Alligator mississippiensis: one gene and its partners. The main gene of each other region encodes a partner of the protein of the gene in region 2 in a complex. Links are inferred from orthologs where the notes say so. Each region holds a gene or a part of one and is shown on either strand. Other genes may lie near its edges. The genes, in order: LDLRAP1, AP2B1 and ARRB1.

Region 1 (10,060 bases), on a different chromosome or scaffold from region 2:
CAATAAAACAATGAAAGCTTGCAAGAAATATATAGAGGTAGGACCCTCCGTGTGATTCCTTAAACCGCAGTGCTGTTGTTTTAGCGAGGAGTCTCTGCTGTACGTGTTCCCAGCCTCCAAAAGACCCACTGACTTCAGTCAACTGAATCAAGAGGATGCCTTTATAGAAAAATTGATTGGAAAGGACAGCTTTATGGGCCGCTCTTAAAACATCCAGCTTGAATTTAAGGCAACAGCTAAACATTGGGAGCTCCAGTCACCACTCTCCCTAGCTGGATTTCTGTCCTCCTCCTTTGTATGCCCGCACAGTTCTGCTCTCACTCCTGGCATCAGTCCCCACGTTTGCTGCCCCCAGGCATCGCAGCGGGAGGCAGGGGCTTAGCTGTTTCCTTGCCTTTGCCTCTGGGGGCCCCACGGCGAGTGGGAGAGAGACCTGCCAGGCGAATGCCGCTCAGATGCTTTTTCAAACGACTACTGACAGAGGGTCCCTGGATTGAGCACAGCAGGCTGGCGGTTTTGTATGGACACAAACCACGTTGATAAGCCAAAGGGCACGAAAGGGAAGAAGAAAGGGGGTGAAGCATCAAGGGGTGGCAGAGGGCTAGAAGTAAAACTGAATTACTAAATCAAAACAGAGGCGGCTGAGGGAGGCACGTGGGCAGCGCCTGAGCAAATCTTGGGCCTGGTTGTCTAGCTCAGGATCTTCCCTCCAGCAGAGGCTGGTATTGAATGCTGCAGAGGCAAGCTCAGGACCTCACGGCAGACTATAGCCAGATCATCGGCCCTCCTTGCTGCATTCAGTCCCGTCCTGGTCTCCTCTAGTCAGAGCCCAGCCTGTCCAAACCCAAGGCCTAGTAGGAGCGGGAGGCAGTAGGATAGGTTAGGAGCAGAGGGGGTCAACCGGGCAGCTGACGCCCACATTTCATGCACGAGTTTGCTGACTTTGAACCTGCCACCAAATTAACCTGGGAAAAACCACCTGCAGCTCCCTGCCTGCCAGAAGCTAGAAGTCCACTGACAGGACCCACCACTGGCCCAGCTCTTGCCCTCGCGCACTGCATCCCACAACGTACCTGTATATCGAGACGTTCTCGATCAGTTCATTCGTTCCGCTATCATGTAAGATGATCCCTCGAGGGGACACCTTCAGCGTCACTTTCCGTAGCTTCTTCCCACTTGCTTTAGCCTTGGAACAGGAGGGGAAAGAAAGCAAACACGTGCATCACGGCAGGAACTTAGCACGATTCCCCCCAAAGCTGCACTGACACGGTGGATTAGTTACTCTAGGCATGGACCAGCTTGTTCTGGCAACTGTCAATCCTCTGGATCATGGTGTACGTGCAAGAGGTCTATGTGACCATCACCCCGAGTGCGCCTAGGCAAAAGTATGGGGCAGAAGAGGCTGCCCTAGATTTACCACCCCCACTTTAGACCACTGGGGCCGAGTCCAGGCATTCAGTGCCTCGATGGTTGTAACTTCTGCAACCAGAATGACAGAGAAGAACTGCTGCTGAGTGCCTAATGCCTCCGGCAGGGTGCACTTCTATCAGGGTGACGTCCCTTAGCCTTCCTCCAACCAAGGAGTACCCACAAGGCAATGGAAGCCAAGGTTTTGAGGCACCTTATATTTGCCTTACTCTAGCGGTTGCAGCATTGCAGTATTTTACAGGAGCTTTACCACATTGCCAGCAGGCCCTCCAGTCGGATGCAGTTTACAGTCATACCCAGGACCAACGTACCAATTAACAGCTAAGTTAATAGCACTTGTTATTATCAGAGATTTAATTTACTACAAGGTACGATAGAGCCCTTATTAAAATTTTACCTTCACCGGAGCACTGATTTATGTTGCCGTGGAAGACAGATTAGAACATGCGCTCATCTGTAAAATGCTTAAGCACTTCATTTGGGCTCTGTGCTCTCAGCAGGATTGTGCGGTATTGCTTACGGTGGCTGAAGGCTGCACACTCAGGATGGACAAAACCTCGGGAGATACGAACTCAACCTGCAAGGAGGGTTTGCATCCAGTACCACAGACTGCATGTTAGCAACCAGACCAGATGACATACCATACAAGACCTGCTGCTAGATCTGGGATGATCCTATGTGCCTAGGCTGAGCAGCCTCTGGAGCAACAAGCCTAGACCTACAGTAGGTTATTATCTTTGGTTTAAGTTGCCTTAAATCTCCCCATAGGGCAGTGAGTCTCAACCAGGGTGCCACAGCCCCTGGGGTGCTGTGAGATTCTTTAAGGTGCCGCACAATACCAGCACTGTCAGGTGTGCAATCGCCTATGCATGATTCGCAAGATGAATCCAGAGATTTCAAAGAGGAATCCAGAGTGTCACCAACATCCTGACCTGCTTGGTCTCCGCCGAGTTCTTTGCAACAGGAGAATTGCTCTAGCATGTTTCCATAGTCAAAAAATGGATGAAAGCCAAAAGGCAACATATTACAAAGGGGGTATGGAGTCTAAGAGGGTTGAGGACAATGCCGGAGGGAAAAAACATAACTAGGGCCTGACCCTTGAGTTATTCCTTAGGGAAAGGCCCACTGAGGCTCAGTTATGCGCAGTCTACACAGCAGATGACGTGGCACAGGTACAGCTCCGCCAGCTGGAAGAGACTGTCTGTTGTCAGCGTTGCCCCAGCATCCCTGGATGTCACACTGCCCGCTTCCCTGGGCCTCTGCTTTGCACCTCTGGGCCACCTGTGCAATATTTCTAGCCTTTGTGTTAGCAGAGAAAGACACCATACAAAAAAAAAAGTCACACGGCTCCAGCAGCTGGGGCTTTACCCCCAGGTACATCAAGCCAGCCACAAAATCCAGTGTACCGTCTCGCCGTCTCTCCAGATGAGGAATGATGCTCCCACACTCGTGCACTTTGCCCTGTGAGACCTACACTCAAGCAGCTGCTCGCCCCCAGGATCGGGCCCTTCACCCGAGCCTGGTTTGCAGGTCAGTGGACTGTTCCTGTGTAGCATTAGCTTGACCACAACCAAATGCTGGCAGACAAAACCTGCTGCTGCAACACTGGCTTTTCCAGAGAGCAGCTTTGCTCCCAGGTCTACACTCAGTGTTACGAGGCCCTAGGGATTTTTGTTTGGCAACAGTTCGTGGCTGTTATCCCCACTGCCAGCCTGTTGCCCTGGCTTGCATCAGCCACAGGCTTAGCTGCTTTAAATGTATTCATTTATGTATTTATTTCAACCGCCATTAGATTTAGAGCCAAGTCGAGGTCAGCAGCAGATCAAGTGCGCTTGACTGGCAATGTGTTGCATGCAGCCACTTGCAGCCCAGCGCCACGAACCTGGGGTTCGTTCTACCTTGTAGGGGCAGAGAAGCCCCCTCGGGACAGCTCAATGCCTCGTGCACAGACCCCTCTGAGCTGGCTGCACTGCGGGGAGTGGATGGGAATAGACTATGACAGGGCTCCACGATGCTGTACTGGGACAGAAGAGACATGCAGTCGTGGAAAAGCCTCAAGAGTGGTAGATGCGTGCCCATAGTGGGAGCCTGGGGGTATGGTGTCTTGGGTACGGCCCAAAGGTAATTAGTGCCGAAGTCTGGCCTCCTAAGTGCGGGCCACAATGCAACGAACTTGAGAATGGGAAACATGACCTCTGCAACGGGAATGTCCCTGCTTCCACCCCACCGGTCTAGAGTATCCCAGCTGGAGAGGCTGCTGGTTTCCTAAACAGTGTGTGGCAGGTGTGGGTTAGGGGTAATTAATGGCTTGAAATACCACAGGGACACCTTCTCTTCCCATGACGTTGAGTGGAGAGAGCTCTAGCTAGATGAGGCATAGCACTTGACACAACTTTTAATCCCTTCAACCCTGCCCTGCAGCCACCCTCCTTAAGTCTCATGGGAAGATCCTTGAAAGGGAGGTGTATAGAAAAGGTCCTTTAGCTCATGTGGTTAGAGCACGGGGTTAATAACACCAAGGTTGCAGGCTGGATTCTCTGGTTGGACTAAATGATCTCTTGAGGTCCCTTCCAGCCTTCCTTCTCTATTGAAAATACGGAAATAGATACATGCAGGATGTCTATGAACAGCACTTGTCGCGCACAAACTTCGAACAGGGAAAGAAGCTTCTGCGCTGGTGGCAGGGAGCTCCTTCACTAGGATCGGAGCTAGTCGAAAACCCCATCCCGACACTCACCGTTGCTACTATTCTCTTGACAGCAGCAGCTGAGAGGTCTTCTCCTTTGGGCTCTTCCACCAGCGTCATGCCCATGTACTTCAGGTTGAAGAGCATCCCCTCCAGCAGGGTCTCCCTGGTGTCAGTCCAGTTTTCTGGCAGTTCTAAAGGAGATTATAATTTTTTAAACAAGGGATTTCACTGGGAAGTCATGCAAACACACACCAGCTGCCTCCTCTACCTTACCTGGGTGTCGAAGGGAGCAGTGCAGCACATCACAGCCAAAGCTGTGACCAGAGGGACTGGAAAGTGCACCAGTCATTGTATCTTAAGTGACTGCTACTCCTGGCGACCCGCTCACCGAGCTCTCCCTGCACAAAGATTTCAGGTATCTTGGCTTCACTCAAGTAGCCCAACAGCGAAGACCGCAGAATTAAGGCCAGTTCGCTGGGAGACACTCAAGAGCAAGATGAAAGACTCCCAGGCCCAGTTCCTTGTTGCTCTGCTTGACCTTAAGAACTAAGTTTGTGACCAAGGAGGGAGATAAAGGTGACAACTGTACCCGCTCACAGGAGAGCAGGCATCTTTCCTCAACGTAACTTGGCTTCAACTCCAAAGCTTAGTAAGCAAGCAACGAAAACTTGACAGTAAAACTAGAGAGGCTTTGGGAGCAGAAGGCCAGTAACACGGCCACGAAACCTCCACCTTCCCAGGGCCTGCTCACACCCACGCTAACTAGGAACTCCAGGCCAGACCTACAAGGGGATTTAGGCTCTTTACCCCATCAAAATCAACATAAGGCACCAAATGCCTTTGCGAGCCTTCCCCGCAATTCCCTCGGGTCCCCGCTGCCTTGTCCCCGGACACTTCAGGAAAGGTTTCTTGCCAGTGGCCATGTCACTAGGGTTAAGTCTGAAAAATAACTTTGCTCCGGCTGAGTCTCCAGAGGACAGCGTGACAGAGGACATGGACACCTCTGCACTTGCCTTGTGCTGCTGTCTGCCTTCCTCCCGCTCTCCTGAACAGAGCCCCTTCAGGCCAGCCAGTGCCCTATGACTAAGGCCTGTTAAGCGGACTGTCATTTAGCAAAATTTGTGCCAGGATAATTGCACCTTAAAAGCCACTCAAGAGGCTTAGAGCAGCACAAGCCAAGAGCAGGGACTGGAGCAAGGTTGCCGTCCCAAAAGCCAGGCAAACCCAGGACAACGTTCCTCCGTCTACTGCCCACCTCCTCTCCTCTGATGACGGGAAGGCAGAGAGTTATTTCCAAGCTGGTATTAATTCATCCCTCACTTTCTACGTCAGCGATAGTCCATGCTCAAGTCCTGGTATAGGAGCCCTATGACCAGAGGAGAGCTTGCTTATGCTATCAGTTGGCCTCTGCTGGCTGACTTCACTATCAGCCCTAAGCAGAGAGGAGGAGCAGATCACCCCAGCTTCCCCATCAGATACCGACTGGAAAGCAATTGTAATTCAGCACGAGGAACATGGTCTGAACGGTACAGAACATTCTCAGTTATCTGAGTCCTTTGGAGATACCCGCTGAGAACCTGCCTGGATAAGTGAAATCATGGCATCTTAGGAGGAATTATACATGCTAACACACGACGCAGAAGGTACAGCCGCACCAAACCCAGCGCATCCATTAGACAAAGGAGAACATACAAGAGAACAGTTTGTTCTCTGTACCACTGTACATCGCCAACCAGCTGAATGACAACTTCGTTACACAACACCAAATTACAAGCTGGTAAAAAAAACCCCAGAGCAGGGCAAACTGCTTCTTTAGCCAATGAACTGCAGGCCCCAAGCCATGCAGATGCCAAGGCATGCTAGCATGGGGCACTTTAGGATTAGGGTGAACATGGAGATTAAAAAAGCCGAGCTCCTGAATCACAGAGACGGGGCCTGAGCACTGTTAAAAGCCACTGGTTTTGCTGTGCTGTCGTGCAGGTTGGCTACCCCGGGCTACGCGGGATGCTGGTGCGAGTGGATCCTCCCCTGTTCTACCTGCTGTAGACAAGGCGCGGGAAGTACTTCAAGACCAGATCCTTTGCTAGGAAAAAGCCACACAGTTCTCGTAAACTGGGCTGGCTCCACTGACTTCAGCGGAGCTAAGCAAGCCAGGGACATACCTCTATTTGAGAGAGCAAGGAGAGATCATGTCCATGCACTGACTGCCTATATTTCTTAATCGGCTAAGGGCCAAAGTGGATGCTAAGGCAGGCTCTCATTAGGTGCAGATCTGAGCTGGCAGCATTTTGTTCTCTGGTTTCCTGCTGCTGTGTCAGGTACAGACCCCCTGCTGAGCGAGTGGGCAGGAGCTAATGCTGCAGAGACTATCACCCCGGGAGCTATAGACTGTAAGAGGCACATTGTGGCACTGAACAGAGGAAGCAGGAGGGGAACAAACACCCGGGTGTTGCCGAAGAAATGCCAGCCGTTCAGTCGCGCTCAGCACAAACTGACGGCTGCTGACGGGTGCGATGCATCACGGACTTCATTAAGCAGCTGCTCCAAAATCCACCGCAGCATCAGGGCGCTCTTGGATGGAAGTGCCCTTCCTGTCTCAGTGCACGCGGGCTAACCCAGCCGCAGCTGTGCCATTTCAAGCCCTCCCCGAGGCCTGTGCTCCCCTCATGCTGGGGGCACAGGCACTGAACATGCACTTGCAGACCGATCACGCTATGACAGAGCAACTCCCTGCCAAGCCCTTCAGCGTGCAGCAGGGTCACGGGCAGGAAGGCACACCCCTCCGGCAGGGCAGGGCTGCCGGGAGCGCTCGGCAGTGGGTGTTCACTGCCGAACGGCATGATGCAGCCTGCACGCGCCATGCAGTTTACACTGGGAGGCAACTCCATGATGACACGGGGCAGGGAGAGGGAGCAGCCTCCCTTCCCGTGACGTCACTAGGTCGGTGACTCAGGTGTCACGGAGTCCCTTGCTGAAAGGAGGAGCAAGGTGCTGGGTTTGGCCCTGACCTGGCAGCAGCAGGGAGCGGAGAGAAGCCCAGCTCAAGTCCCCACACCCCGTGGGACGGGCTCCAGTGACTCATGTGGAGCCTCAGAGTAGGCAAGAGATGCAGAGACGATTGCTAACTTACCCGCCAGAAAAGTGGAAAGCCCCCACGTAAACACAGCAGCTGTGTGAAACTGGCCGTCACACCCAGGCAGGTCACTTCCCACGCCCGGGCAGTGTGTGTGCGCAGCAGGGCAACACCTCCAGTCCAGACCAGTCCCAGCGGAAGGAAGGGGAACAGGACGGGTCCCTGTGGGGTCGGGTGCTCTGCACGGAGAACTCGCTCCAAACGCCAAGCAAAGGAGTGGGGTCCGTGCGGCTCCGTGCCCGGGGTCTCCACGGGGAAGTGCTGTAGGTGGGCTGCAAAGGCAGCTCTTTGGGGGTGCGCTGACCCTCCCTTCCCAAACATCCCCGGGGCCAGGTGGCTCTCTGCACATGACTGCCAGCGCAGGCGGCTGTGGTGTTTCAGGCAGGCTAATTAGCCCAACCATGACTCAAGTTAATTAGCCCAAGTGCAATGCCGCAGAAACACGGCTGTGCTGCTTCTGTTCCAGGACTAGCGTGCCGGGTCTCCGCGGCACACCCAGCAAGCAGCACACTGGGATCCAACATGTGGAGACCCGCTGGCCTAGGGGGATGAAGCAGTGTCCTAGGACTCAAGAGACCTGGGATCAATGCCCAGCTCTGTCACTGGTCTGCTGTGTGATCCTGGGCAAGTCACTGCACCTTGCCTCAGTCTCCCCATCTGGAAAAGACAAGAAGACTGATGCGGAGCTCTTTTACGAAGCAGCTGGAGATTTAGGGAGAGAAAGCGCCCTACCGAGCTGCGGGGGAACATCTGTAAGGTGCGGCACACGACGCTCGCCTGCATTTATACTCCACAGACTCCCCCTGCCTCCCACCCTATACGGCAGCAAATCCAAGGCTGCCCTCGTTCTGCGGGACAGGGCCGCCGGGAGCTGCCCTGTGCTTGCTGCAGCATGCACAGGTGATGAGCTATCAGGGCAGCAGGACACGATGCCAGGAACAAATGCCAGACACAGAACCAGACAGTCCTTGCGAAACAGAGCGGCATTCCCTGCTCCCCAGCCCCCCACAGCTTTTCTGAAGGGCCGATCATGCATTATTACACAAAGGCTCCAGTGCAAGGAGTAGCCTTCGCTCGGCTCTTTCAGAGCTGAAGTCACCTTTACGCTCCCCCACCAAAGCAAGACAACAGAAGTCCTGGGGAACCTGCTGCGCCCAGCTCGGCCAGGCCTTCGGCACGGCCTCGCTTCCAAGCCAAGCCAAGCCAAGCCAAGAACCCTATTTCCACAAAGGATGGGAAAAAAATCCCTCTCTTTCCCCAACTGCCAGTCACTTGCAAAATACAGCAACGGGGGTTTTCATCACCCTGTCCATCTTCTTGCTTAGTGGTTCACCAAGGCTGCTGGCATCAGCAACCACAGGTCCCACAGCGAGTCCGGACAGGCTGCCCGCGAGGAGAACATGCAGACAAGCCCGTCGGAGCCGCTGCTTTGCAAGGAGACACGCAGGGTGGTCGGCCGTGGCCCCGGCGGCAGCTTAGAGACCAGCCCCTTTGCTTCTGCTGGGCACGATGGTCCTTCCCCACCCCCCACATTCCTCCAGAGCCGGGAGCCGGAGCGGCAGGGAAAAGCTGGGCAGGTTTCACGTCCAACCGACCAGCTGCGCTTTGGCAAGAGACATGAGTCATGTCATCCCTCCGCTGTGCCATCTGCTCTGCCCTGCAGAACAGATGGACACTGCCCAGCGACCGAGGGGAGCTGTATTCATGGCTGCTCGAGAGAAGACGAGGTCAATTCTGAAGGCAGGCAGGAGACAAGGAAGGAGCATGCCCAAGCAAATCAGCTTTAAGGAGACAAGTCTGCAATCGCGCTGCAGTGCTGAAGCCATCGAGCACAGGCACAGGACAGGCTTCTCACCTCCTGCTCCCAGGCAGAACTGACGGGCCCCTGCCTTTCACGGGGAGGTCAGGAAAACGCCGTCGCTCTGGGGACCCAGAAGCCAGGCGGTTGTACTATAGGGTGCAGGCCAGAAGCAGCGGGAGTGGTGGCAGCGGTGCCACGTTGCAACCTGGGGGGAAGGAAAGGGCACCAGAACCCAGAATCCGTCTCCTTGCCTTCCTCGCAAGCCGGCACAGGATCCCCTTACAATCCCGCGTGCTTTAGTAGCGCGCGCTTTCCTATTTCGAGGACCGGGAGACACCGCAGGAACTTGCAACTTAAGACAGCGAGATTGCCCTCCGCCTCCAAACAGAGACTGCGCTGCGGGAATCTCACCTCACCGACAGGCCCTCTTGCTTGGCTTGGCTCAGTCCGAGTCTCCCGACAGCCTCGGTGCCAGACAAGCTGCTTTAAGCTGTGCTTTGTACAAATATTCCTCCTCCCCCAGCCCTACGCTGTGGCTGTGCAGATGACCTGCTCTCCGAGTTCAGTGGTGAGCCAAGGACAAGCCAGCCGCTGTGTTTAACCGTCTGCTTACAAATAGGATGCAACTAGAGCAAGAGTCCATCAGGAGCTGGGCATCCCGCTGTACTGATAACACCACCCCGCAGAGCCCAGAACAGGAGCGCTGGGGCAGGGGTCACCCCAACACAGTAACCGGATCCTGCCTGAGAGCAACATTTGGTGGCTGCACAGGGCCTTTTTTGCCTTCAAAGCCCTTTACACCAGGATGTCCAACTCATCTGGCCCCGTGGGCTGAATGCGTGGTGCACGGCTGCTCCACGGCCATGCCAACTCCAGCACACAGGGCGCCTGTTCCAGCCAGTCCAGGACCCAGGATGCACACAGCACCCACCCCGGACCGCGTGTTATACGCAGTGCACATCCAGGGCCCTGCATGCACCGTGTCAATCCAGACCGTGGACTCAATGAC
Region 2 (9,998 bases):
GCCCTGTATATAAATCTCTATAAAAGGCTGCTGTATGTTTCAAATCCCAAAGTTCTGTTTCTGACCTTCCAGAAAGTAATACAGAGCCAGAAAAGGCAATTGGGGCTGCCGTGTTTGCATACTGCAAGCGTGTTCAATTCATCAATCCTGTCTTTTGTCATCGTGTGGGAGGGGGCTGGGTGTTTGGGAACTGTTTTATGGCCTACTTTTGAACAGCTTCTGGATGACTAAGAAGAGAAATGGGGACACAGCACATAAGGAAGCACAAACTCTGTTGTATGGAGTTAAAAACATCATTTTAAAATAGGCACTCACTGTCCCCAGGAGCCTCCAATACACTAGAATAGTTTAAAGCTCACCTTTTTTATTAGTTGTGAAATACTTGGAGTCTGTCATGGTTCCAATTCCTTAGAACACCTGCAAGAACAAGGAACATTTGGACAAACGCTGTAGCCACTGTTCCCCAATATGTGAGCCATGCATTAAAAGAACCATAATTTAGCCAGAGTACAGAACAGAAGATAGCTGCTCTGCAGATGTATTCCCCAGAAGTTTCACAATCTTCACACTGTACCAACAAATGACATCCCAGAGTATTTTTATATAGATACATCCATCTCTCTCTCTCCAGAATATATACATATATTCTGTATCAAAAAAAAGACAGCATCAAAGATGGCTTTGATTCCTAAAAGCAAGAAATCCAGGTTTCACGACTCTTTTCAAACAATGGCAGGATCTACAGAAAAAAAATGTAGGACTCCCCCTACAGGTATATTCAGGAGTTGCAGCACCACAGAAAGGACTGTAAACACACTGTTTCTATACACACCACAAGGCTGTTTGATCACTTTGTTTCCTGAATCATGATGACACTGGCAATCCCCCAACATTAAGAAAAATAAATTGCTCTATAGTAACCTTACGGAAGCTTGAAATCTTTCCATCACTCTCTACACCAACATTTTCCACCCTCATTATCACAGACACCTTGACCTATTACTGTAGTACAGCAGTTCCCGAACTCCGACAGATTGAGCACCACCAATTTAAAATGATACAGCCTTACCACCACCAATTTTTTCAGTTCAACCTTAAGTACCACCAGTAAATTTTTGTCATATAAATTACTGATAATAAATCTGTTAACGCGTACTACTTACGGGTTGTTTGTGTATCACTAGTGGTACCCGCACCACAGATTGGGAACCTCTGCTGTAGTGCTATTCTCTCACATTCAGCAGCTACTGTGGATAGGCTGATCATGAAGACTAGACTGTAGGAGCACACATTCATTTACTGCTGTAGGAATTTCAGAATGACTTTGATGTTCACTTTTTTTTTCTTCCACCAAGCTAAGTCGATTAACAACAAAATGTAGAGATCAGATGGGCTGCCCCAACTTCCCATGAATGCAGACCCATTTTGAATTTTTCTTAAATGGGACTGCTGCCAGCTGGATGAGGAAACTGACTCTCTCTCAAACTTGCTGAGAAAGAAATGACCACTGGAGGAAGAGATCTTATGGCTGGCTTTTGATTATTTTATTACATCAGGGTAACAACCAAAAACCTGAAATCCGATCTATCCCTACAATGCCATAATCACTTTTTTCCTTTCAATTTTTGCCTGATCTTCTCTCCCACTTTCTGCACACTTCTCTCCTCCCTTTGTTTCTCTCTTGCTATATTGGAGCAGTACACCCTACTTCACCCCAGTTTCACTCTTCTTCCTTTTTTTCTGGGTTAAAGACATCTCCTGGGATATCCCTGCTTTCTCAATGACTCTGCCTAGCTAAAGAGGAACAAATTAAGAACCTACAGCAAGATATTGAGCCTGTTTCCTTTTTCTGTTGGCTTAAAGTATTGGCTAGTAAACAAATAAGATCTCTTTCTGCTAAGGTCTGGTTGCTTTGCTTCCATGGAGCATGCAGACACTGCAGCCCCAGAAATCATGGGAACACATTTGGCGTGGAACAGCAACACAGCCCCATATATCATTTGTGGACCTCATCTTCCAAATCATAGACCGGTGATTCTCAAACAGGGTACCATGGCACCCTGGGGTGCCATTAGATTCTTTTTAGGATACTGAATGGCACGCTGCACTATTAGCACTGTTAGGTGTAAAAACACCTGTAAAATTCACAAGATTTCAAATAGGAACCCATAAAATCAAAACCATTCTGACCTGTTGTGGTCTTCCGAGTTCTTCTATTGCAAAAAATTGCTCTGCTACTTTTCCCATCAAGAAACAAGTGAAGGTAAGAGCTGGCGGGTGCCCTGAATCTAAAAAGGTTGAGTTCCACTGCCCTAGACACACCCTGCATCTTAGTGCATCTCTTCCTCTCAAAGATTGTTTCTTTTCTTCCACCCTTAAGATTAGACTAATGCTGCTGCTCTTGGTTCAGCCGTAGAGTTAACAGAAGCAGCAGCTGAGGAGCAGTAAGCAAGTCTTGGTTAGTTTCAGTCTGCTCTCAAGGGAGCACTCTGGGCATGACTGTGATGTCCAAATGCTTAAGTGTAGGAAAGGCAAATGTTAGTCCCTATCTCCCTGTGCCCCTTAAAGATTGTGCTTGTACTGTACCTTTTGCGTTACCTGTCCTTAACCCAACAGTTAGGAAAGGATGATAGCAATCAGGGCAATTTACTTTCACTCCAGGTCTGTTTCGGCTGAGCCAAACACAACGCCAAGTGCAAGCCTACTGCAGGACAGAGTACTTTGATTCATGAAGCCTGGAAACACCTAGAAAAAACATGGAAATATAGCATTGCCCGGATCAAATCAAATGTAAACCCCTCAAGCTTACCAATCTTGGCAACAATCCCTTCAAGCAAAACTGTAAGTGTTCCAAGAGAGGAAGCTGCCACAGTCTTTTTAATTATCAAACAAGCCCAGCCTACTTTCCACTGCAATCTTCTTGCTGACACATTGCTTAGGATTTTAACCCAGTTGAAAGAGGACTCAGATGTTTTGCTATATACAAGGCCACAAGGCCTAACACCATCCAAAAGAGATGTACTGTAAATTTCTTCCCATGCTTCAGTTTCATTATATTACACGCAGGATTTGGCAGTGTGGGCCAGAAATGCTGGCTGATGTAGTCTGGCAATGAACAGCAGCCAACCCCTGGTACTTCAGAGAAAGGCCAGACACCCAAGACGCACCCACCTGACTGTGCACTGCCAGAGGAAAATTCCTTGCTAAACATCCAAGGAGACCTTTATGCCTTGAAGATGAACACTTCAGTCCCTTATTATTTTTGCTCACGTACCTACAAGTGTCGTTAGCAGTCATTAAATTAGCTCGCCCTTATTTAAATGTAATCACAGCATGTGCCTTCACAACAGTGTTAGCAGATCCAAACAAGATTTGACTGTTATTTTAGTTAGCAGCACAGCTTCCACCATCCAAGTGCAACCTGGTCTAAGGCTGCCCATCCCTGGGGTGAACAGACATTTTGCTGCCTTCTGGGTTGAAGCTTGCCCCACACACGCTGTCAAAGGCAATTTCCCTAGGTATTTCATATTATTTGGTTTCCTAACCAAATAAGAGTATGGGGAAGCTCAGGTGAGGCCCAGCCGGCCCGGAGACAGGAGCTGGGACTCACAAGAGGCAGCTCTTCCCGAGCGCTGCAAGGGAAATCCGACTTTCTTCTGCAGGAGGCAAAACTTCGTGAAGAGGTGAATGTTTTTAAGGCTATGAAGAGAGGTGCTCTCCTCGGCAAGGGCTGACACCCGGGGGGCAGGCCCGGCCCCGCCCTGCATCAGCGGGAGGCCGCAAACCGGGCCCGGAGCCTCCTGGGCCCTCCAGCTCTCGCCCGCGGCTACTCCCGGGTCCCGGCCACGTCTCTCCCCGGCCCCGGCCCGCCACACCTCCGCCCGGGACAGTGCGGGGGCCACAGCAGGGCGGACCCGGGCGGGACCCGCGGGAGCGCTGGGAACCGCCGCAGAGGGGAGGGCGCCCGACCCCAGCCCCAGCCCCCACCCCGCTCCCCCGGCCGGGCCGGACCCGCGGCGCTCAGGGCAGGCGGCGACCCGAGCGCGGGGGCGGGACCGGGGCCCCTGCTCACCGGACTGCGGCGGCGACGGCGGGAAGCGGAAGCGGCACCGAGCGGCTCCGGCGACTGAGACTCACCGCCCAGAGCGTCCGCGCCGCCGAGACCATAGAGAGCGGCGGGGGGCAGAGCGCCGCCTTCCGCTCTACTTCCGGGTGCTGCTCCGGCCGGCGCTCCTTCCCACTCAGGCCGACGGCAGTGAGGGCTCGCCTGCCCCCGCGCAGCCCCGGCCCGGTGGAGGCCTACGCGCATCCGTCCCCGCGGCACCCCGGGCGGGGTCGCTATGGCGGAGCACGGCGCTCACCTGACGGCGGCGGGCGGCGGCGAGGAGGCTCCGTCCATCTTCGAGGCGGTGGCTCAGGACAGCCTGATGGCGGTTCTGCGGCCCGCGCTGCGCCACGTGGCCAAGGTGGGCCGGGGCCGGGGCCCTGCAGCCCCCGCGCAGGTGGAGGGGCGGCCCCCTGTCAGCCCGATGCGGGCGGCACGCGGATCCGCACGGCAGCGTGGGGGTGCTCACCCAGGGCCGGCCCCCTCGCTCCCGCCGCCCTGGCCGGGACGAGGGCGGGGCAGCTGCTGGCTTTGAGCACCGAAGCCGCCGCTCCCGCCCGAGGAGCATCGGTGCCCAACGGGGGCTGCAGGGCCGGACCCTGCGCCAGACACCTCGGGACAGGAGTCCGGCAGCGACCACCTGCGTTTACAGAGCCCCTGTCGTGCCACGTGTCTAGCGCAGCCCCCACGGTACAGCTCCCACCCGGCATTTACCAGCCGATGTGCCCCGCACAGCCCTGCCCGGCCCAGGCCCCCCCCCCGCTCCCCACCTTGGCAGGAGCTTCCAAGCCCCAACCCTCTGCCAAGCTCTCACTTCTGCTCCCTTTGCTGCCATCCCTGGCTCCTTCCAGCCATGCTGTGGACTGCAAATGCCATCTGCTTAGGTCTCTCGCCCAGCACCATTTGAATTGGGCTAATGCTCAGCTCCACGTAGTGCCAGGAGTCGGGGCATCCACAGAAAGTCAAGCCCCTGCTGGGACTGCTGGCAGGAGCTCCTTGCGTTCTGCGTGCTCCCATTGCCTGGTCCTGTCAGCCACAAAGCTGCTGCTTACTGTTTGAGTTTTGTGGGCTGCTGCCACTTAGTCAGGGATCCCAGCCACTTGCTCCCTGCCCATCTGCAACCCCATCCTGCCCAAGCGCAGAGCAGAGCCACAATCAACTGCCTGCACGCAGCTGCAATGGGCGCTAGTTCTGCATGCAGGGAGGGAGCAAAGCCTATCGCAGGGGTGTGCAGGCAGCGGAGTGTGGCTCTGCTCTGCAGTTGGCTGGGATGGGGCCATAGATGGGCAGGGAACAGCATCTGGGAGCAGGATGGGCAGGCAGGGCTAGGATCCCCAACTAAGCAGCGGTAGCCTATGGGACACAAACCAAAGTGGCAGCTTGGATCCACATGGGCAGGGAGCACGGCCAGGCCAACAGGATCAGCAACTTGGAGAGTGAGCTGGTGGGGGCTTGCAGGGGGGCAGGATGCTGACCAGGCCAACAACTCATCAAAACTCCTTATCTGGCTTGCAGGCCCAAATAATTGCCCACCCCTCTGTTAACCTATCCTCTTCCCTGCAGTGAGGCAGGGAAACAGTCTCCAGAGGAGGAAACTCAGAAAGGCCTGGTAACTTAATCTTTTTTTTGAGCAAGTCTGAGACGGAGCCAGAACTGAGGAGAGCCTGGTCTTCCCTAGTTCATGAAGGGATGAGTGCACATTTTAGGTTTTTCTGCCAGGGATATTGCTTCTGCTAATGCTGCTTAGTTCCATGCAGCAAGGGGCAAGGTATCTCTTGAACAAGCTCCTTTTTGTGCAGGTGAAACACACTTACACATTGTGTATTCATGTACCTGTTGTGGGAGGAAGCACTGTTATTACTGGAAGCCTTGCAAGTGTACACAGCCATCAGCTTGGAAGCTTTTCATCCCTGGAAGCCAAGATTCACATCTGGCTTATTTAATAACCAGCTGACATGCTAGGGTCAGATATGATGCTCACAGTGCCCTGCTGTAATCATGCCTCTGGTCTTTTGTTTCTGAACTGTTTAATAAAGTGGATGTGTGGGCTGTGGCAGCTTTGATTTAATGAGCTGGTCTTTGACATCTTTTCTGCTTTGTGTGCCTTGTACTAGGTTCTTGCTGAATCCAATCCTGGCCGTTATGGCTGCCTCTGGACTTGGTTTGATGAGATCTATGCACTCCTGGACCTACTGCTCCAGCAGCATTATCTGTCCAAGTGCAGTGCTTCTTTTTCTGAAAACTTCTATAGCTTAAAGAGGACAGTGTTGGGACACAGCAAGGGGCCATGTCGGCTGGCAAGTGCTGGACTTCCAAAGCAGCAGCACTGGAAGTCTCTCCTCCTGCTGGTTCTCATTCCTTACCTGAAAGGGAAGTTGGAGAAACTGGTCTCCAGCTTAAGAGAAGAAGATGAATATTCCATCCACCTTCCATCCTCTGCCTGGAAGCGCTTTTACAGGGCCTTTCTAGCAGCCTACCCATTTGTAAACATGGCCTGGGAGGGCTGGTTTCTCATCCAGCAGCTCTGTTACATCCTTGGTAAGACGCAACACCATTCACCGCTGCTAAGGCTGGCTGGTGTACGCCTGGTAAGATTGACAGTGGATGATATCCAGGCCTTGGAGAAGAAACTGGTTGCAGCTACTGCAAGCCACAGGTAAGTTATAGACTAATCTTACCCAGTGGTACCCAGCCTTTTTGCCCTGCAGGCCAGACAGACAGTGCTCCAGCGAATGGGCCCAATCCAGTGTGAGGGACAGGCAAGGCAGGGCCTGGTCCAGCTGTGTGTGGCAGGGAGAAGGGGGTTAGGGAATAGCCCAGCCTTGATCTGAGCCCATAGGTGTGGCTCAGCCCCAGTCTGGCCCTGGGCGGGGAGCATGGCCAACCCCAATTTGGTCCACAGGGCTTGGGAATTTGGCAGCAGGGGAGGGGTAATAGTATTATTTGCCACTGCTCCCTCACCACCAAATTTGCCAACCCATAGGGAGCCCCCATGGACCAGATGCCATGGCTCCATGGCCACATTTGACCTGTGTGCTGGAGGTTGAACACCCCTGATCTAACACATTCAACATAGAGCTTTTGCAATGCTTTGTGGCAATGTTCCAGGTTCTCTCTCTTCACAGATGGTTCTGTGAAATGAAACCATCAGTGTTAGAGGTTAAAAGCAGGAAAAGAGGGAAGGTCATAATGCACTTTAAATATAAATGAAATAGTGAGTCTTGTAGACTTCTTGTTGAAGTTAATTGCAGAGCTGCGTGGCTGGAAACATGTAAGGATAGTTGGTCTCTGACATGTTCAGCACTTGATGTCATTTCTGAGGCTGGTACCAAGGGAGATTGATGGCATCAGTTATCTGTTCAGATGAGCAACTTACCTTATTCAGACAGTGGTGAATTTTGGGTACTGCTAACCTGAGCCTTCTGAAACACAGATCCCTGGGTGAAAGCTTCTGTTGTCTCTTGTCCTAAGCTCTTCTACCTCAGAAATACAGTAAACCTAGATCTAAAAATTTCAAAGTGTTAAGAATTGCTATATTTCTCAGGCAGGCCAAGTTATACCTTCCTAGACTTATTTGCATTAAGAATCTGGCTGATCCTAAATAGCTTTGTAAACATGTCATACATGTGTAACAGAATTTTTAAAAAAGTTAAACACAATTGCAGAGGGTTGGAAGGGATCTCAAGGGTCATCCAGTCCAACCCTTGTCCAGTTGCAGGATTCACTCTTGCTGAACCATCCCAGTTGCGTTTTCTTGTAAACTTCCAGTGAAGGAGATTGTACAGCTTGCCTAGGCAACTTGTTCGCTCTCTCTGCTTGTATAAGTATGAAATGCAGAATTACAGAATGCAATTCAACAAGGAGAAATGCAAAGTGCTGCACCTAGGGAGGAAAAATGTCCAGCACACCTACAGCCTAGGGAATGACCTGCTGGGTGGCACGGAAGTGGAAAGGGACCTTGGAGTCCTAATGGACTCCAAGATGAACATGAGTCGGCAGTGTGACGAAGCCATCAGAAAAGCCAATGGCACTTTATCGTGCATCAGCAGATGCATGACGAATAGATCCAAGGAGGTGATACTTCCCCTCTATTGGGTGCTGGTCAGACCGCAGTTGGAGTACTGTGTGCAATTCTGGGCGCTGCACTTCAAGAGGGATGCAGATAACCTGGATAGAGTCAGAGAAGGGCCACTCGTATGGTTAAGGGCTTGCAGACCAAGCGCTACGAGGAGAGACTAGAGAACCTGGACCTTTTCAGCCTCCACAAGAGAAGGTTGAGAGGCGACCTTGTGGCTGCCTATAAGTTCATCATAGGGGCACAGAAGGGAGTTGGTGAGGTTTTATTCACCAAGGCGCCCCCGTGGGTTACAAGAAACAATGGCCACAAGCTAGCAGAGAGCAGATTTAGATTGGACATTAGGAAGAACTTCTTCACAGTTCGAGTGGCCAAGGTCTGGAACAGGCTCCCGAGGGAGGTGGTGCTCTCCCCTACCCTGGGGGTCTTCAAGAGGAGGTTAAATGAGTATCTAGCTGGGGTCATCTAGACCCAGCACTCTTTCCTGCCTATGCAGGGGATTGGACTCGATCTGTTGAGGTCCCTTCTGACCCTAACATTATGAATCTATGAATCTAAGTAGGGTTTTTTGTTTAAATGAAGTTTAATCAATATCTGTTTTGCTGTAGTTTAAGCCCATTGCCACTTGGGGATGCCCTGAACCTCTACTACATAGCATCAATTCTGTCTGTTAGCACTGTTTCCAGGTGAACAAATGTGTTGTACTAACTATCCATACCTCATCTCCCTGATACAGCATCAAGGACCAAGTGCATGCAGCAGTGAAGAAAGTATTGGGAGGTGTTGCCTTCTCTCTGTCCACTGGTCTCTCTGTGGGTGTGTTCTTCCTGCAGTTTCTGGACTGGTGGTACTCATCTGAAAATCAGGAGACCATCAAATCTCTGACTGCACTCCCTACTCCTCCACCCCCCATACACCTTGACCACGGCACAGGCTCACCTCTCTTACCAAAACTGAAGACAGTGTGTCCACTCTGCCGCAAGATCCGAAACAATGACACCGTCTTGTCCACATCAGGCTTTGTGTTCTGTTACCGCTGTGTTTATAACTATGTAAAGAGTCACCAGAGATGCCCGATTACTGGCTATGCGACAGAACTGCAGCACCTTGTCAAGCTGTATTCCCCTGAAAGCTGAAAGGACTGAACTCTACCTCTACCTGACATACAACTCAGGTCTTACATAATCTAGGCTCTCTTACACCCTGAATATACTCTTTGTGCCAACACAAAAGACTGTCACCAAAGGCAGGAAAATGTACGGTGCCAGCTTATGACTAGTATAACTGGGCACTATGGCACATTTGGACTTTAATGGCAGTAGTAGAGTTTTTGCTGCCTTGCCGAAATTTTAACAAGCCTTGGCTTCATCCAGTTTGAACACATTAGAACAAGATTGTCAGGTTCAGCTACAACTATATGCTGTCATTAGGGTTACCAGTGCCTTAAACACTGAAGTTGTGAAGTTACACTAAATAACAGGGAATGTCCAATTGGATAACAAAGCATGCATTTAGGAAAGATTAAAGAGACTATCAAAATCTGGAGGAGATATAAATCCTGCTTAAAGGCAGTAATTAGCCACTGAAGGGACTGGGACAGGAGATGGGGGGGGGAGGGGGGGGGGAGAGAATCTTAGCCTCTAGATAAACTGTTTAATCTCTCATTGCAGGGCCTCTTGAACCTTCCTTAAACTCAGGGTCTTAACCAATTTTGGTACCCTGAGCAGACAGCATCACAGTTTATATAGGTGCACTCCTAGATACCTCTCCTCTGCTAATTCTTCTGCTGTTAAGCTTTCTCACATTACCAGGCTACTC
Region 3 (9,779 bases), on a different chromosome or scaffold from region 2:
CCCGTTGTGGTGTCCCCAGGTTCTTTGCACCAGAAGAATTGCTCTGGTATTTTGCTGTTAAAAAAAAAAAGGAAAACTAAGAGCTGGCATTTTTTGAGGGTGGCCTTGAGCCCACCGAGGTGGAAAGCCACTTCCCTAGATACCCTCGGACCAGATGCTCAGACGGGGAAGCAGAGCATCATCGTGGTCAGGCAGCTGGGAGAGAGAATAGGCATCCGGGGACTCGGTTTAGGCAGGTCTTGCTGCACCAGGCCTCCAAGCAGGAAGTCCTGCCTGCTCTTCGTTCATATTTATAACACGGGAGCAGTCAGAGGCACCAGCCGGGCTCAAGGCTGGACGGGGGCAAGACCCCTGAATGAGCAGGGCGCTGGGGCGAGTGGTTTATAGCTCATGCAACGGCCTAGCCTGCTGTGCTCATTTTCATCACGGCTTCTCTCCTCTCCAGCCCCCTCCTCCTCATTTAACAGTGTGAGAGAAATTGCTCGGGGACCTTTGGGTTCCCTGCCAGCAGAGAATGGCTAAACTCCCAGATTAAATTGCTGGCTGCTTGCTCAGCTGTATTTGCATGCCGTGGTCACAACCCTTGACCCGTGTGCCACGCTGCCCGCATAGCCCCGGGTCCTTCTCTGGGGACCGGAGAAACAACCAGTGGCTGCTGCTAGTTAAAGGAGTTGCCGCTGTTAGGCAGTCGAGGGCTTAGGGCCTAAAGACAGTGGATCTAAGTGTGCTCTTAGCCTAACACGCTCTGGTTCTGCATGTGAATTGCTTTCCCTTGCTCTTCCTGCGCTAAGCAGCCTGCCTGGCTTCCAGCTCTTCCGCAGGGCAAAGGACTCATTACAGATCTGGCTCTGATCTCTGAGGATCCCGAGGGGACAGCAAGTTCCCTGGCACACTGACATATCTGCGAATGCAAGGACCGGAGATGAAAGCCCAGGAAGGCGGCAGCCCTTAATGCCTCTGCAAAGGATGATGTTTGCGTCGGATCGGATGGTCTTTCTCTGGGGATGCCGCTGCTTCCCTGCGCAGAGGTGCCCGGCAGTGGGACCCCCTTTCATCTCCTGCGAGAGGCACCCTGCGTCCCTCCCTCCCAGAGGAAGGCTGTGCGGTTGTGCCCTGGGGAGGATAAAGCCCTCCGCTCGCTGCAGTGTCTCAGCCAGCGCAGGGCATGGGTGATGCATTGCTCGGCACGCCATCGCTTCTCTTGATGCGCAGCCGAAAGAGCCCCTTTGACCAGGACAAGGATTTGCAAACCCACTCCAGGATGATGGGCAGTCGTCCCACGGGACCAGGCCAGCTGCATGCTACCAGCCCCTGAGCGCCCGAAGCTGGCACACTAAAAAAACTCAGCACTGTCCTTAACAGAGCGCTGAGACGCACTCCGTGTGCTCTCGGGCATTGGACCAAGCGATATAAGACAGCCCTGAACATGATTACTGGAAACAGCGGCAGAGATGACCAAAATCTCCTGCTCCGTCAGCTGTTAACTGAAGACTCGTGCAGGAGGTGACGGCAGGTCGTCTCGTATTGCAGGTGGTTTGTGGAGCATCCCCCAGCTGATAGAGGTGCCCCTCGTCCCTGCCCGCTCTGGCCTGGGTCTGTCTCAGGATCAGGACAGTTCCTAGGCCTGTGCCTGATGGTGCTGGGATTATAACACTCATCGCATCTGTCTTGGACCGACGGAGAGAGAAGGCAGAACCCGCGTCTGGTCCGTTTAGCGCTCGTCCATCAGAGGTGTCCCTCCTGCACCTCTGTCCTCACACGTGTGACCCGGAGGGGATGCCGCTTTGCAGCCGGGAGGACTGGATCCTCATCGCACAGGGCTCCAGACTGGTGCCGCCTTGCAGCTTGCTCCCGGGCTCTTGTTTGGTGCAGGCAGGACCCCTGAAGGGCAGAGCCTGTTGCAAAGTGACCCCGTCCCTAGCCCTGGATAAGAACATGCTGGAGGAGCGGGGAGACGGTTCTGCCAGCCTTCCCCTCTCTGCCTTTCAGCCCTGGGTATCTTAGTGCATCTCTCTAAACATCCTGCAGCTGATTGCCTGGCTGGCGATCCGCCGTGCCATCTGGCCGGAGAGTGCCTCCCTGGGGGATCCTGCTGCACGAGCGCTTGCTGAGCTCTGTCTCTGGCATAACTGGGGAGAGAAATGCCTGAGAAGTGATTACAGCGCAGCAGGAAGCAAGCGGTTGGACTGCCAGTCCTCCCGGAGCCACTGCCAGCTTCATTACCATCCCCTTCCCATGAGCAGGGAGAGCAGCACCGTGCTGGCGCTCCTGGCCCGTTGGGCTCGCCGGGTGCCGTCTGGCTAAGCCGGGTGCAGGTGACATGGGACCTCCCGGGAAAAGCATCCCCCCTTACCTCCAAGCCAGGCAATCGGCCCCCTCCGTGCCAGTGCCATTGCACGCTGGACAGGCCGTGAGTGCTGCAAGCCGGCAGGGCTATCCGCACATCTATGGACCCCTGGAGTCAGAGGGCTCTCCGGCAGGCCTACGACACCAAGCACACGCTGTTGGGGGGCTGTTTTTCCAGCTGAGACAAAAATGCCTTGGTGCTTTCCACTCCTAGAGGAAGGTAGGGGCCTGATTTTCATTCACGCTCAGGTCCCAGGGACAACCCTGCAGACAACGGCTGAGGCACGAGGAAGGGGGATGCTGCAGGCAGCCAAAGGGACGGGCTGGTCATGTGCGGGGCTGTTTGCTGCGGCTGCAAATTCCTCCCATGCAGACCAGCAGCGAGCCGTGCTGGGGATACCGCTGGGGAAACGTCTCGGGTTAGATGGATCATTGTGCTACAAGCAGGATTTAAGGGCTGGGCTATGATAAAATCAGACAGCGGTAAAACCCGGCGGGTTGTATATCTTTTCTAATGCCATGCAAGAGGCACAAAACCCATTGAGCTGCATCCTTCCTGTACTGCCGACGGTTTCAGCTCCTTTGTAAGCTGCTCGGGACCATCTGTTGCCTGCATGTCCATCCAGCAGCTTGGCTCGGAGAGCCGCTGACAGCCATGTCTCTCCGATGCAGATCTTTGCCCTTCTGCCCTCCCTACTTATTGGCTTAGGCCTGAGGGAGGTTTCAGAAATGGAGCCAGGGAGAAATCTCCATCCAACCTTGGCACCCTGAGAAGAACCAGGCCTCATCCCGAGGTGAAAGAGCCGACTTCAAGAGAGGAGCTCCTTTGGTTGCAAGGAGAACTGGAAATGAGTATGGCATGCCAACAAAGCTGTATGGGACTGCACATGATACCCCAGCTACCCACACAGGCCCTGCCAGACAGGGGATTTACTTATTAGGCTTATTAATGCATTCAGGATAAGCAGATTAACTTGAGCTATGGTTTGATGGATGTACCTGGCCGGAGCCTGGCAGTGTTCCCGGTTGGATGCATTTGCTGCGAACCCTGATGCAGGGGTGGGTGGTACCCTCGCATGGGTTTTGGTCTCCTTATCTCAAAAAGGATGTAGTAAGGTTAAAAAAGGCACGGAGAAGAGCGACCCAAATAATTGGGGATATAGAGCAGCTGCCGTACTAGGAAAGACTAGAAAGGCTGGGTGAGACTCTTTAGTTTGGAAAGACGGCGGCCGAGGAGGGATATGGTAGAGGTCTATACAATCACGAAGGGTGTGCACCAAATGACAACTGCTACTTGCCGTGTCCCAGATGCTGGAACTAGGGAGCGCTCGTTGAAATAAATAGGCGATGAGCTTAAAATGAACTCGGAGAAAGGGCTTTTTCACTCGCTGCGTTGTTAACCTGTGGGACTCGCTGCCGCAGGAAGCTGTCGGGGCAGATAGCATAGCCAGGTTCAGGAAGGGGCTAGACCAATTCTTGGATGATCAGTCTATTAATAGGTATTAAACACACCAATGAGGGCTGTATTCTCTGGCATCTCTAAATCAATGATGGTGGATGCGAGGAAGAGTAAGGCGGGTCACTCAAGACCAGGGGTTTTAGACATGCGACACCCCTGGATAGATCAAGACCCCCTTGGGAAAACACCAGCTCTCACCTGTCACTCTTTTTTTTTGGAGAAATAATAGAGCAGGTTTTCTGCTGCAAAGTTCTTCAAAAGACCCCAACTATGAATTCCTGTTTGAAATCTCGGGCTAGGGACGGACATTACACATAAACCAGTTTCAGTGATCAGAAACTGGTTTAAACCTGGAACAGAACAGATGTTCAGGGCACATAAACCAGTTTGAAAAGGGCTGAAACCGGTTTGAGACAAACCTGGTCGAATGTAGTCTCAGACTTAACAAACCGGTTGATGCAATGTCTGTCCCAGACCTGGGTGTATCTTGCACATCCCGTTTGCACACCTAGCGGTGCTAATGCTGTGCGGCCTCCTGGGGCACCCTGTTGAGAATCACTGCTCTAGATACACCCTGGGCTCACAGCACAGGGATGCTAAGCAGGGTGTTTCCCACTCCCAGCTCTCCTTCCAGATGTGGGCTGGAGGATCCATCGCCTGCAAGGACTAATGGTCAAGCGAGGAGTCAAAAACAGGCACTGTGATGTAAAAGCAGAGCCAGAAGGAAGCTCATGAATGAGCCGCCTTGCTCATTGCTATACTCGCTACCGGAGCAGGCAGTGCCTGGTGAGATAGCAGGTTCCTGTACCACCGGGGATGGGGATGGCAATGGCGATGCCCCCTAGGAGGCAGGTGGGGAATGTGTTGCTGACCCAGTGCTTTCCATGATTAGCTCTTGGTCAAGCTGCTATCTTTAGCGAGAGCCCTGTGTGCTTAAGGCGTGGGTTGCACCCCGAAAGCGTGGGTCACACCATTGCACACTGCGAGCGCTGCTGCGATGTTCCTCGAGGCCTGTCTCTATAGCATCCCTGACCTGCCAGGACGGGTCCGACCCTCCTGGCCAGGCAGCCAGCAAACAGAGGAAAAGGGTGCTCAGGGGCTGTGCAGGGTTGCAGGCAAGTTCACTCTCACAGCCCCCTCTTTGTCCTGCCGCTTTAAGCCCAAATATTCCACACTGGATGGAGAAGAGCTTGCCTGCTCCTGACCTGCTACCCCAGGGATGATACCCCACTATCCCCTGGAAACTGTATTAAAAAGTGTCCCCCTTAAACCACCCCATGCCACCCCACATTCAGGTCCTGTCCCACCGCTGTAGACATCGAGTCTTGGAGACGCCGTCACTCTCCCTTGCCCCATTAATCCCAATTTGAACATTAGTTTTGCCTTCTCCAGTGGAACAGAAGTGACCAGGGGGGTTTATATGGGATTGGGCCTTGTGGAGCATGGGCACCGGCTGCTTGTCTGCTCCGTCCCTGATTCCCTTTGTGTCCCCTCTCCCTGCAGCTCACAGTCTACCTTGGGAAGAGGGACTTCGTGGACCACATAGACATGGTGGATCCTGTTGGTAAGTGGCTGCTTGGCTTGGTTCACCTGGTGGGATTCCCAATGCAAAGAGCAGCCCAGCCCGGGATGCGGGTGCAGAAGTGCTTTGGCTTTGTGCTGTCTCCAAGGACAGCGCGTACCGAACGGGGGGGCTTATGCAACAGCCTTGCCGTAGCTGTAATTAGACAGGAGGGTTAGAGATTTTCCACATCAGCAAGTTTCCCCGGTCGTGGCTGGAGTGTGCTCTCATGCCCATCCTACCCACTCGAAGGGAACATTAGCTAGCGGTTGGATGGGTCTGGACTTTGCAGAGAGGATGCTGACGACCAGGATGCCTGCAGCACCCGGGGGCTGCAGCCGGGATGCAAGCCCAAGCGTGCAGGGTGCTGTTTCAATACATCATAGAGGACAGTTCATGCCACTGCCTCGTTTCAGACCAGACCCGACGAATCTCGGAAGGGAGGGTGAGAGTCGCGCCAGTTAGAGTGTGCATTTGCACAGGGCAGCTAGACGAGGTGTCTGGTCAATGAATTACCATGCCCCAATGTTTGTGCTGCAATAAATGACAAAATGCTGATGAATGCAAGAGAGAGGAGCTGTTCCAGCTGGCTGGCTGCCTGGCCCGCTGCTTATCCAGCAAAGCGGGTGTTGAGGAAGAAGGTAGGAGGAGGGAGAGCAGTGGCTGTAGGTACGAGGTCTGGTTATAGAGGCAAACCAGTGGGATGCGTGCTGCGGACCGCCCAGCGATCTCTTACACCAGTGCAGCCAGGGTTTGCACCGTGCCAGCTGTGCCCGGGCAGCTGCTGCGGTAGGGGCAGGCATCCAACCCTGCTCTCCCTGGCAAACCTCCCATCGATGGCAGCGTGTGAAGGATCAGGATATCGGGCGGTTGCTAAAGTGCACGATCAATTGGAAGTTGGCATCCCGACAGGCATGGGAGCCTGCCTCCATCGAACCCAGCCTGGCTTGGAGCGACCTGGTTTCTGTGCGTGCTGAGGCTGGGGTGGGGGTCCCAGGAAAACCACAGCTCTAGGTGTGAAGGGGGCTCAGGGAACTATTTTTCCTGTCTGTGAGAAGACTTTGGGATGTGCAGGCCCAGGCTGCAGCCTGCGGTCCTGGGAATGAGATGTAATGAGCTCCTGGCAGGGTGAGACGTGACTGTTGGAGAGGGACTGAAAGAGTCCAGACCTGTTTGCATGGCATACGGCGAGATCCTTTCCCAGGGATTTCCTTCTATTACTTCTTATCTATATGAAAGTAGCACCTGGAAACCCCTGCTGAGATCAGAGGCCCGTAGCATTGGTTGCTCTTCACACCACCGGGAGCAGGCCGTGTCCCGAAGAGCCGAACATCTGGAGAGGCACCGGTTGTGTTGTCCTGCCCACCATAGATGCAAGGGGCAAGAAGACTTGCCCAAGGTTGCACGGGAAGCTTGTGGCAGAGCCAGGAACCGGCCCCAGATCTCCTGTGACTCCGCCAGCCCTTGTGCAAGCCCTTGTGTAAAGTTTTCAGGAGGGCCGAAGGGCCAGATCCGGAGAGGCAGTTACAGCGGCAACGCCGAGCATTCAACGCCTAAAATTTAGGAGCTTGGTTCTGGGCGTGGAGCCCACAAAGCCTGGGGAGGCACCTACCTCCTCTGCACTTTAAATAGAGAGACAGAGTCACCTGGGCCCTCGACCCACCGAGCCCCTGCTTTACAGTGGGGTAAGAGGCACCACTGGCGCTGCTGGAAACCTGGAGCAATGTCGTGGAAAGCAATGGCTTGATTCAGGATTATGCTTCAGATGCCGGGGGGGCAGGACCCGGTCGAATGAAGCTGCATCAGACTGAGGGAGATGCACCTCTGGCCTGTATGGTGCAGGCTGGTCTGAAAAGGGCTTTATCCTCTGGATGCCTGCTGCTCGCTGCACCCTTTTAAGGTTGAGTTTGGAGAGGTGAAAGACAGGGTGCAGCAAGGAGGCTGCCGATCCATTAGGCAGGCCGAGCTAGTGGCAGCAGGCTGCAGAAGCCACAAATGTGTCTGAAAGGAAAGCCAGAGACCATGAGATGTGAAACCTCCCCTCCCCTTGTCCCCTCTCCAATAGCTAATGACTGGAGCCCAGGTCCCCTACGCCAGGTCCCGGCAGAAATCGGAGACGGTAAGGAACACAAGCGTCTTAGCGGGATTTGCTTAGCCCTATTGCTTGGGGCATCGTCATGGGGACTTTGCAACGTGCGTGAAAAAGGCCTGGCTCTTGGGCATTGCAGCGGCAAAACGGGGTCTTCAGAAGCTCCCGCCGGCCCCTGGCAGCAAGAATCAGAGCATTTCAGGTTGTTGTTACCTCTGTTCATTATGCATCTCCGAGGCCGCTAGCTTTCCGGTTTAATTACCCAGGGCGGCAGAGCATATTGCTTCTCCATTATCTCCCACCCCATATGTAATGCTCTTCTTCTCGTATCTAATTACAGTCCCGCTTTGATTACCCATTAGCTAGGGGAAAAAAAAAAAAAACCCAACAAAACCCTTTTTCAGACTTCCAATTTCTCCACCCTGGGAATTTGCAGACCTGACTCACCCCCGCATCCAGTTTCTTTGTTCTGGGGAGAGCCGCTCACCCTGGCTCAGCCGCATCGGATGCAAAGTCGTTCGCTTCGTTTTCATCCGCTGCCCCTCCCCGCAACCCAAATGGCTAAGACGCCATTAATGTCAGTGTGTAGGAAGGGCCCCGACTACACCGCGTTGGTTGTGGATTGGAGCCAGACGTCTCTGCAGACCGACCACTTTGCTTCTGGCCATCGGTGTGCATGGCCCGAGGAGCGGCGGGTCTCAAGGAGCACGGCCGTGGATTCGAGGGTCTAGTTTTACCACTGAGATGGAAGCACCCGGAGCTGAGCGTGCCTCGTTCTGCGGGCAAAACATCGCTGGAGCCAGACGCGGGCACCTTCATTCTCCGTGAATCTGAGCCACCTCGGCAGCCCCGCTGGCTCCTCTCTGCCTTCCCGGCACCTCCCTGCCCCTGCCATGCCATCCTGCATTCACGCCTTCGCCCACCACAGAAACTCATACGAAGTCAGGAAGGGGCGGCAGGTCTGCCTGGGAGGCGAGGCGATGTTTCCGTGCAGTGCATTAGCCTCGAGGGACTTGCTGCTCCAGTCTAGCACGGGACTGAGGAGTTTGTCAGCATGCCAGTGCTGTGGAAAAAAGCACAGAGGCAACCAGGTGCAGGAAGTTGAAGCCTTCTGCCTAGCCTGGCGTGCGGTGGGTGCTGTACAGCTCGAAGCCGTACGTGCCACCCGGTCCGGCAGGCCTCAGAGGCCTGGGTGCAGCTCGCAGAAGGAAGCTGGAGCGTACACCTTCTCTGGGGCAGGCCAGGAGAAAGGCCACGAGACTCAGATGGGTCTGGAGTGGTGAATGCTTTCCATCGCTCCAGAGAGCGATAGTCCTGCTCTTCTCTTCCATGGACAGGAGAGCCGTCATGCCGTGACCAGGGCTGGCTGGTTTGCTGTGGGATGGGCAGGACACAGCCAGGCGTGTCATAGGCATGGGGACAGGCTAGGCTTTCCTCTCTGGGCACTGCACTATTAACCGGCAAACATGGGTCTCAGCGCCACGTGCACATGAGGGTAATTCCTCTCCCTGTGCATTCACAAATGAGCTGGGAAAGCAAAGCTGCAGTGCCACGATCCCGGCAGACAGAGCAGCAACAAAACATAGGTTCGGGGGGTGTCGGTTGTAGCTGAAGAAGGGCGTTTGCACCCAAAAACTTGCAAAGAACAATTTTTCCAACTATTTAGTTGGTCTAATAAAAGATATCACATTTACCCAAAGACAGCGCGGGTTGTCGCTTAGTGCCCTGATTTGCATTTGCAAAGAGGACCCTTCTCTCTCCATTCACAGGGCTGACATCAGGCCCTGAGTCACGTCCTCCTTCGTCCTTATGTCACCCGCTGTTCGGTGCATGCTACACAGCCCCTCCCGGCTTGATCCACAGCTGCTGCCACCTCCCACCCGGGGACGAGTCCCTTGGCAGCAGCTGCAGTCTCACGTCCATGGCCCTGCAGGCCCTGGGGCTCAGGGATGCCCAGGCAGGCTCTCACTGGATGCAGGGGAGCCCCAGCTTGCCTGGGAACCCGGGGCTTGACCTTGTTTGTCTGCTTGATCCTCAGTAATAGCTAGCAGGAGTCTTGCAGCAGCCCAAAGAGGACAAGCACAGGAGAGCTCATTGGAGTTGGGTGTTTTGGGGGATGCAGCCTTCACCCCGGGCTGCCTGGCCCAAGGCTGGGCTGTCCGAGCCTTGTCCCAGGGATGGCCGGGCAGAATGGGAGAAATCCTGCAAGGCTGGAGAAGCAGGTCCCAGTCTGACTCAGAGCATAGCAACCACCAACGAAGGCATGTGGCACTTGGCCCATGCCCCGGAGATGCTAGGTTGGCGCCTGGAGGGCTGACTCGGGC

What was found.
Region 1: the proteins of AP2B1 (region 2) and LDLRAP1 are in contact, whole or in part, in a crystal structure (PDB 2G30), measured with the Homo sapiens proteins. The link is inferred for Alligator mississippiensis from reciprocal best matches to the Homo sapiens genes AP2B1 and LDLRAP1. Residues at the interface, in NP_001273.1 of Homo sapiens: Arg834, Gln835, Phe837, Leu838, Trp841, Glu849, Gln851, Ile876, Ala877, Arg879, Val881, Glu882, Gln884, Met886, Tyr888, Glu902, Arg904, Ser915; in NP_056442.2 of Homo sapiens: Asp253, Leu255, Asp256, Ala258, Phe259, Ser260, Leu262, Ala263, Gln264, Arg266, Thr267.
Region 3: the proteins of AP2B1 (region 2) and ARRB1 are in contact, whole or in part, in a crystal structure (PDB 2IV8), measured with the Homo sapiens proteins. The link is inferred for Alligator mississippiensis from reciprocal best matches to the Homo sapiens genes AP2B1 and ARRB1. Residues at the interface, in NP_001273.1 of Homo sapiens: Arg834, Gln835, Phe837, Leu838, Trp841, Lys842, Asn846, Glu849, Ile876, Ala877, Arg879, Val881, Glu882, Gln884, Tyr888, Glu902, Arg904; in NP_004032.2 of Homo sapiens: Asp384, Asp385, Val387, Phe388, Glu389, Phe391, Ala392, Arg393, Arg395, Leu396.

Annotation. Positions count from the first base shown.
Region 1 is NC_081829.1:3,554,345-3,564,404, forward strand, and holds the start of LDLRAP1 (low density lipoprotein receptor adapter protein 1), read right to left. Parts: upstream 4,482-10,060; 5' UTR 4,467-4,481; coding exon 4,391-4,466; intron 4,309-4,390; coding exon 4,166-4,308; intron 1,187-4,165; coding exon 1,074-1,186; intron 1-1,073. UniProt on the Homo sapiens protein: Adapter protein (clathrin-associated sorting protein (CLASP)) required for efficient endocytosis of the LDL receptor (LDLR) in polarized cells such as hepatocytes and lymphocytes, but not in non-polarized cells (fibroblasts).
Region 2 is NC_081837.1:26,708,641-26,718,638, reverse strand, and holds the start of AP2B1 (AP-2 complex subunit beta), read right to left. Parts: upstream 4,159-9,998; 5' UTR 4,073-4,158; intron 3,947-4,072; exon of another isoform or gene 3,611-3,946; intron 3,575-3,610; exon of another isoform or gene 3,172-3,574; intron 2,746-3,171; 5' UTR 2,587-2,745; intron 1,262-2,586; exon of another isoform or gene 1,164-1,261; intron 418-1,163; 5' UTR 397-417; coding exon 360-396; intron 1-359. Other genes in the region: PEX12 (peroxisome assembly protein 12), read left to right, coding at 4,341-4,466, 6,220-6,761, 8,917-9,316. UniProt on the Homo sapiens protein: Component of the adaptor protein complex 2 (AP-2). Adaptor protein complexes function in protein transport via transport vesicles in different membrane traffic pathways.
Region 3 is NC_081824.1:478,358,298-478,368,076, forward strand, and holds the start of ARRB1 (beta-arrestin-1), read left to right. Parts: upstream 1-5,624; 5' UTR 5,625-5,639; coding exon 5,640-5,811; intron 5,812-6,063; exon of another isoform or gene 6,064-7,361; coding exon of another isoform or gene 7,362-7,485; intron 7,486-9,779. UniProt on the Homo sapiens protein: Functions in regulating agonist-mediated G-protein coupled receptor (GPCR) signaling by mediating both receptor desensitization and resensitization processes.